Caenorhabditis elegans: one gene and its partner. The protein of the gene in region 1 interacts with the protein of each later gene in a pairwise test. Each region holds a gene or a part of one and is shown on either strand. Other genes may lie near its edges. The genes, in order: brc-2 and D1007.8.

What was found.
Region 2: the proteins of brc-2 (region 1) and D1007.8 interact in a two-hybrid assay, tested with the Caenorhabditis elegans proteins (one large-scale study listed by BioGRID).

Annotation. Positions count from the first base shown.
Region 1 is NC_003281.10:6,901,366-6,905,293, forward strand, and holds the start of brc-2 (DNA repair protein brc-2), read right to left. Parts: upstream 1,742-3,928; 5' UTR 1,713-1,741; coding exon 1,690-1,712; intron 1,615-1,689; coding exon 1,464-1,614; intron 1,369-1,463; coding exon 1,265-1,368; intron 1,221-1,264; coding exon 1,081-1,220; intron 998-1,080; coding exon 824-997; intron 773-823; coding exon 650-772; intron 607-649; coding exon 522-606; intron 476-521; coding exon 379-475; intron 140-378; coding exon 12-139; intron 1-11. Other genes in the region: T07E3.3 (DSBA-like thioredoxin domain-containing protein), read left to right, coding at 2,530-2,598, 2,816-2,957, 3,013-3,137, 3,182-3,460, 3,508-3,669. UniProt on the Caenorhabditis elegans protein: Required for the homologous recombination repair of DNA double strand breaks, thereby playing a role in chromosome integrity. Acts by targeting rad-51 to sites of DNA damage and stabilizing rad-51-DNA filaments by blocking ATP hydrolysis catalyzed by rad-51.
Region 2 is NC_003279.8:4,602,718-4,606,120, reverse strand, and holds D1007.8 (Nucleic acid-binding, OB-fold protein), read right to left. Parts: upstream 1,719-3,403; coding exon 1,503-1,718; intron 1,455-1,502; coding exon 1,269-1,454; intron 1,222-1,268; coding exon 844-1,221; 3' UTR 736-843; downstream 1-735. Other genes in the region: C44E4.5 (NudC domain-containing protein 1), read right to left, coding at 1-7, 104-270, 321-432; eaf-1 (Ell-associated factor Eaf), read right to left, coding at 2,065-2,705, 2,784-2,898.

The DNA of each region.
Region 1 (3,928 bases):
AAAAATCTCACCGTTCCTGGGGGTCTTTGAATCGGAACCAATTGTCAAATCCTTCATATCCTAACAAATCGAGTAATTTCTTCATATTTTTTGTAGTCACATTGATAAACATTTGACCGGAGAAGTCCATAACTCGCACCTGAAGTTTTTTTGTAACGATACTTCCCAAAAACTAAAATTCAAAAAATTATCTAAATTCAGCTAAAATCTCAAACTTTGTCAACTTGACAATGTCACAACTCGCAGAAGTGAGTTCCGACCGCCGCACCACTGACAAGTCGGAAAAATTTGAGATTTTAGCTGAAAATAGGCTATTTATCCAAAACATTAAAAATGTTCTATATTAGGAAATAGGCAATATAAATATAAAGAACATACTCTAGAATACATCGACAATTCAGATTTTCCTTGGGAATCCTTACAAAACTCGCATTGATTCGCTGCTTCTGGGAGAGAGTGTTTGCATTTCGAACATCTGAAACCAATATTATTATATTAATTATCAAGGAATCAGTATGTACCCTGCATAAAAATCCAAATTTAAATCGAGTAAGTTAACTTGGACAACTGTTTTTTTGATTTTCGTGTCTGACAATTCGTGGATAACTGAAATAATAATTTTTTTAGGTGAAAACTCGAAATGGCTCACATCTGGGTTTGATGCAAAACGGCTTCTTGGCAATTGAATGGCGTCGGATACCGGATTTCGCACCATTTTCCTTATTTTTCAGAACTCTATCAATATAGATTTCTGTAACATCGCCTGAGCTTGCTGAAAGTTTACGAAAAATTAAATCAATAGCTACAATCGATTGAGCATTACATTTTTTACAGACTTCCGCGTCGACATGAATTCTGTCGCCAAATTTAATATCAGAGCCACGATTGTAGCTACAAGTGGCCAGGATTAGAGGAGTTGAGCTGGATTCTTGAAGAATAATTCGGAATTTATCCTTTTCGTAGATTCGAGAAACACGCAAAACATCGGCGTGGATTTCTGAAAAAAGACTCCGGATTACGAGAATTACGGAATAAAGAACAGTTTTCAAAAAGGAGAGCCAATTCTAGAGCTTAACTAACCTTTAAACTCCTTCTTCTTTTCTTTTTTCGAATGTTTTTTACTTTTTTTAGAAGAACTGCTGGTTGATTTTTTTGCTGGTGGAGCTTCGAAATCTTCGAAACCGCCGCTAGCCGGCCGTTTTGTAGTTGTTGAGCTCGTTCTGAAAAGAAAAACTTCGAGCTAGATAGCACCTTTGAAACTTACCCTTCTCTTCGAAACGGTGAAACGAAAGCGCTCGACCCATTGTTTTTGCGCACGAGAGGGGAAGAAAATCCGCCTTTAGACGAGGATTTGCTCTTGAGATCACTCTGAATTTGAAATTTTTTATATTAGAAGAATAAATGTGTTGTCGAAGTTAATTTCAGAATATGTTCCATTATTTCCTTTTAATTCCAAAGCTTACATTCAACATCTTCTTTGATTTATCAATCGATTCCTGCTTCACATCAATTCGGATACCAGCCGCTGTTGAAAAAACCGGTTCCATTGATATCGGTACGCCTTTCGGCTCATCAAAGCTGTCTGGTTCAGATATTGTGTCGAAACTGTCTTTTCTGAAAACAAAGAATTGCAATTCATGTATGTTTCTCAATTTTCTTGCTATAACAATAAAATAAATCTTGACTAACACTTTTTTAGATGAGTCACCCATCGGTCGATGTCACAATATTCTGGTAAAGTCTGAAAATTTCATTTTGAGTTCAGAAATTTGAGATTTCAATTGAAAAAAAGGGAAAAAATTAAATTTTTGTTTTTCAAATAAACTGAGAATTTTACTGTCCGGTGGAGCGTAATTGCATTATTTCCTTTTTGAGAAAAAAATTGCGACACTAATTTATTTATTTCCGCCTTTTCTTCTAATTTCGTAATGCAAAATCAATTATCTCACAAATTATAACACGAACCGTTTCTGCCGTTTAAAACTGTGGAAATAATTATATTTATGTGCGGTTTTCATTCATAAAACGAGGGGAAACCCCCAATTGACCTTTCCTCTCTGAATAAAAAAGCAAAGCAAATATTAAATCCGTGTATTTTTTGCGTCATTCTTTTCTATCTCTTACTCTTTTTGCCCCCGCAGTAATAAAGATCTAGAGAAATAGAGAAGAAAAGGAGAAAGTGAGGAAAAAAAATACATGCTCGCAGAGTTCGAAGCTTTGGTCTAACTAGTTGAGATTTCTTCCCAGCTTGATGTTTTTCCGGGTCGCTTTTTCCTTTCATCTCTTAAATTTTCATTTTCCATTTCTTGGGTATTTTCTTTTGATAATCAAATTAAAGAAAAAGCACTCGATTTTAGGTGCAATCATTCAAAAAATTCTTTTGATAAAATAATCACCTTATCACCATTTTAATGTCATTCCCGCCATGAAAACCTGATTTTACAGTCTAAACCTTTCCTATTTTCTCATGATGACGCTCTGATTTTTTTTAATTTCTCGACATAAATTTAATTTCAGCCAAACTTCAAAATGGCTCCATTGCCACGTGTGAAATGTTATTTCGATGTGGTCTGTCCCAATTCATGGATCACTATTCAGGTACATTTGTAATCTAGAAAAACTTGTTTTGATACAATTTAAACTGAAAGATTTTGTTTTTCCGGGTTTTCATTTCCATTGCCCTTCAGAATCATGTGCTTCACGTGAAATAGAAATGGGTCGCATGTGAAAAATAGATAGATCTCAGCCCTTTTTGAATGTTTTATTATTCCCGAAAATAAAAAAAGATGGAAAGAAAATCAAATATAATTTTCAGGCTCTTACATCACACAATTCTCTATTCGAGCGTATAGATTTTGAGCCAGTTTGTGATTTTAAAATTGGAATTCTTCATAATGCTCAAATCTGGAACCAACGTCGACAAGTACACAATTCGAGACTTTGGAAAACGAAAATAGGTAAGTAGTTTGAAAATATATAGAAATCCAAATAATCGCGGGAAAGTTATTTCAGAAGTTCCAGAGCAAGCAGAAAGCGAAGAAACACTCTCAGAAATGGGAATTCTACAAAAAATCGACGAGCGTGGCAAGAAACTTATTGGTTGTGAGCGTGTCGTGCCACCTGTAGATTGGAAAAACGTTAGATTGATTTCGAATATTTATTCTCAAACAAATATTTTTAGACCTACAAAACAGCGGTAGCACGTGGATCGGTCATCCCTCAGCTGTTCCTCACTTCAATCCGTGAACAATACCCAGACCTCTATGAAAAAGCAATTCATCACTTGGGAAAACGGCTCTGGGAGCAGCGACTTCCAGTTCACTACGGGTGTCACATGTCTACAGTATGCCGTGAACTTGGAATCTCATTCAAAATCGCAGAAGACATTGTGGCTCGTCTCTCATCTCCAGAAAATCGATCGATACTACACAAAAATTGCAAAGAAGCCGTGGATTTCAAAGTAAATTTTAATTTTCTAGAAATAAAATCAAGAATTTCCTTTTTCAGCTTACTGAAGCACCCGGATTAATCTTGTTAACTGATGAAGGAGACACTATAAAAGTTGATAAAATCAATGATATTTTTGATGATAATATCATGATTTCCAAGCTCTCAAGTGTATCATCAAGCCAACCAGTCGAGCAAAAAATGTCTGCAAATCGACTTTAAATTTAGTTTTTTTGTTTCCAATTCTTCCTTCCTCACCCACCTTTTTCTTCATATTTACCCACTTTTATTGCACTTTACTCGCATCAGTTTAGTCTTTTTTTTTCCCAAATCCTGTACCCTCTACGGTGATTATAATCAATTCGATCAAATTCATTGTGTTATCCTCCGGTTCAATTTATTCCACCCATCTCCAATTTAGTATATTTCCTTTCTCTGTTACCAAATGATTGCATAAATAGACATATTTTTCTTCTTACCG
Region 2 (3,403 bases), on another chromosome or scaffold:
TTTGGGTCTGAAATTATTTATTTAATTTTTTGAAAAGAAACAATTAAGTTTATTCGTTAAGTATTTTTGAAGCGAAACCCTCATTCACAGTAAAATTATGTACCTTTTTCTCATAAACCATTGCCTGAATATGCCCGGTGTCTAAAATACGATACAAAAATTGTTGGGAATCCGTGCATTTCGAATAATCACAAAACAGCTGATTATCATTTGAGAACACTTTCATATGTTGCAGAGTAATCATTTCATTGGATGGAGCACGAAGACATACTGAAAATTATTTTTTGCGAAAAATGGAAAATTTAAATGATTTTTATTACAATTTTGATCCAGGCTTTTGCTCGAAAAGTGCACATTATTCATGGAAACTTTGTATCCTTCAAAGTTAGCATCAATCTTGGAATGATCCACAGGAAGATTGATTGATTGCATTTTAGATTTAATTGGTATAGGGGATTGACCAGGCCTGAAACCATTTTTTTTTCGATGAATTACTAAAAAATCAATTTTTTGGTGAAAAATAGAAGTTTCTTAGTTTCATTTTGCTTATTTCAAGCGTTTTTTATTATAAAATGTTCTACCAATTTCTTTCATTAAAATTTAGTTGTAGAATACTGAAATTTCATTAGAAAGAATATTGGGAAAATGGCAATTACCGTGTGCCGCCGACTGAAGATATGAAAAAAGGTTTAAAACCTTTAAGGGAACATATTAGAAATTGAAATTATTTAAAAAAAAAGAAATAAAAGTTTATAAAACAGATTGTGGAATGAAAGACAAGGCAAGATGTCTATAAGTGAAAATTGAACACGATAAAATAAAATTAAGCTGAATATTATAAATTCAGGCGTTTTCGAAGGAATCATATTCTGGTTCCGGCTCCTCTTTTGGCTTCTCCTTTCGAGCCATTGGCACAAGGCTCACTGGTCCTTTATCAAATGAATCTTCCTCATCATCTTCTTCTTCTTCCTCCTCATCCTCTTCATCCGAATCATCACTGCTATCCTCAGATACATCTGATTCTTCTTTAACAAGTCCACTTGTCGATATTCCTGCTGCCAATTGTTCAATTTCCGTTGGCCACACTCCCATATTATTTTCGCAAGAAGATGATTGTTCCAGCATTCCCATTGGGAACCGATTCAAACTTCCCACTTTGTTCTTCAAACCGAAACGAGTAGGAACATTGGTGCTGGCGCCTGCTGGCAAGATAGGTGTGTGCTGGAAAATGGGCAATTATTGGCTTTTAAAAATTCACTGAAACTTGCCTTTTTATAGAACTTCTCTGAAAAACGGCAGATTATTTGAAAAGCGGCGAATTGTTCATCTGAAGCTTTGTGCATCGAAAATGCGTTCAAAAACTTCTTTCCATTCTCCAAAATTCGAACTTTTCCGAATACTTCAACACGGTCCCCGACGTTGAACTTCTTGGCAGATTCTTCGGTGAAAGAAGCCTGAAATTAATACTTTTTTCCAATGTTACACGATATATTCAGACTAACGGTGAGGATTTTTTGAACCAAAATATTATGATTATCTTTATCAGTAATCATGTATTCTACATCAGAATCTCCGAACTTCACAGATTCGATTACACCCATCACTTGAACGCGAACAACGTCTGCCGTTCCGTACTCGATTCGTTCTTTTGTTGAATTGAATAGCGCTGAAATCGGCATTGGGACGGCATGTTCTGGAATATACCGGTGAGTTTCCATCTGAAATCATGAACAATATGTGAGAAAAACACAGAAATTTGAAGATAAAATCGACGTCTACAAACGACACTGTTTAGCGCAAGAAGCATGCTCTATTGATAAAATGGTTTCAGCGAATTTTAAAAATTTCAGAGAAACTTTAGTTCGACTTTAAAATAGTGCACGGATTAAACAGAAAACCTGAAAAAATAAAACTGTTGAATAGCCTGAATGAAAAAATTTATGATTGCGATAGATAGCCCGGTTTTGAAATAAATAAAAAATCACAGAAGCAAATAACTGCCACCACTAGTACAAGTACACAAGAAAGACGGTTGAATACACTGAATAATATTATGTTTTAAAATTAGTCATCTTCGTCGGAGCTTTCGCTAAGTGCCAATCCATACTTCTCCTCAGAATCTTTGTTTTTATTTCCACTACTTGATATATAGGGAGCCACGTGGCTTTCTTTGTGATTGTAGGTATTTGAAGACGAAGGCGGTGCGGGTTCTCTTTCTGTATATGGTTTGGGCTTTTTCATTTCTTCCAATAATATCTTCTCGCTCTCATCTTCATCATCACTGGAATCGCCATTCGATTTGTCGGAATCAGATGATCCATCAGAATCACTACTCGAATCTGATGTATCTCTCTGCATTTGTTTCTGAATTTTCGCTTTCTCCTCCGGTGAAGATGGTCCAGATCGCTGATTATTAGAAGAAGTTCTCAATCTTTCGATTCCACGTTTCAATGCGAGTTCTGTTCCTTGATCTAGATCTCTCGTCTTTTTTACATTAATATTGCTCGTAATTTTCTCCAAGCGAACTGTGTTGGTCTTTTTGTCGAAGAACAGAAGACATTCTTTCGGTTTTGCTTCTTTTTTCGATCCTTTATATACAGTCATATTGTCTCCTTCGCTTGGTACAGAGACATGTACATCACCGCTGTTCCCAAACGCTATGAAGGTGTCGGCATTGTTTGATACAGAGCTTGGCTTGAAATCGTCTGTAAATTTTAGCTATTTCGATTTTATATTTTTAAATTTCTGATATATTTAATCTTAAAATTGTGCAGTTAACCTACATCTTAGCGTGTGAAATTGCTCTGCCTTAGGGTCACTTTTCCGTCCTTTTACTTCAAATGACTTCCCGAGGGTCAAGGTGTAAGTACCATTCGGAATATCACTTGACTCTGCCATGTGAAACTGAAAAAATGATTATTATTAAATCATATGTGAATATTTTGAATTTTTTAATTTGAAAAAAAAATCGATAATTTTATTATATATTACAATGAAATTCTTCAGAATAGTGCCAATTGTGTGCGCGAGAGTACCATTAGCTGTGGGCGGAGTCTTCGGTTGGCAAGCCTGGCACGCCGTTTTGCAAGTGTGCGGCACAGTGTTGACCTCGGCGCTTTACCATTTTTATGCCGGCTTTCTTTCCTATTTTCATTCAAAACGCTATAATTAGATGAATTTGTACATAAATTATTAAATTATATTCAACTACTGAAAAAGTATCAAAATCATGAAAAAACTTAGTGGGAAAATAGTTTACATTGGATTTTAAACCGTCGACATATCGCATTTATCGATTTTTCAAAAATAAGCGTTTGGAATATTTGCTATTCGTTAAAATTAGCACATCCACCTTTACTCTTAATTCTGCAATTGTATCTTTCCACTATTCCTTTTATTCAGT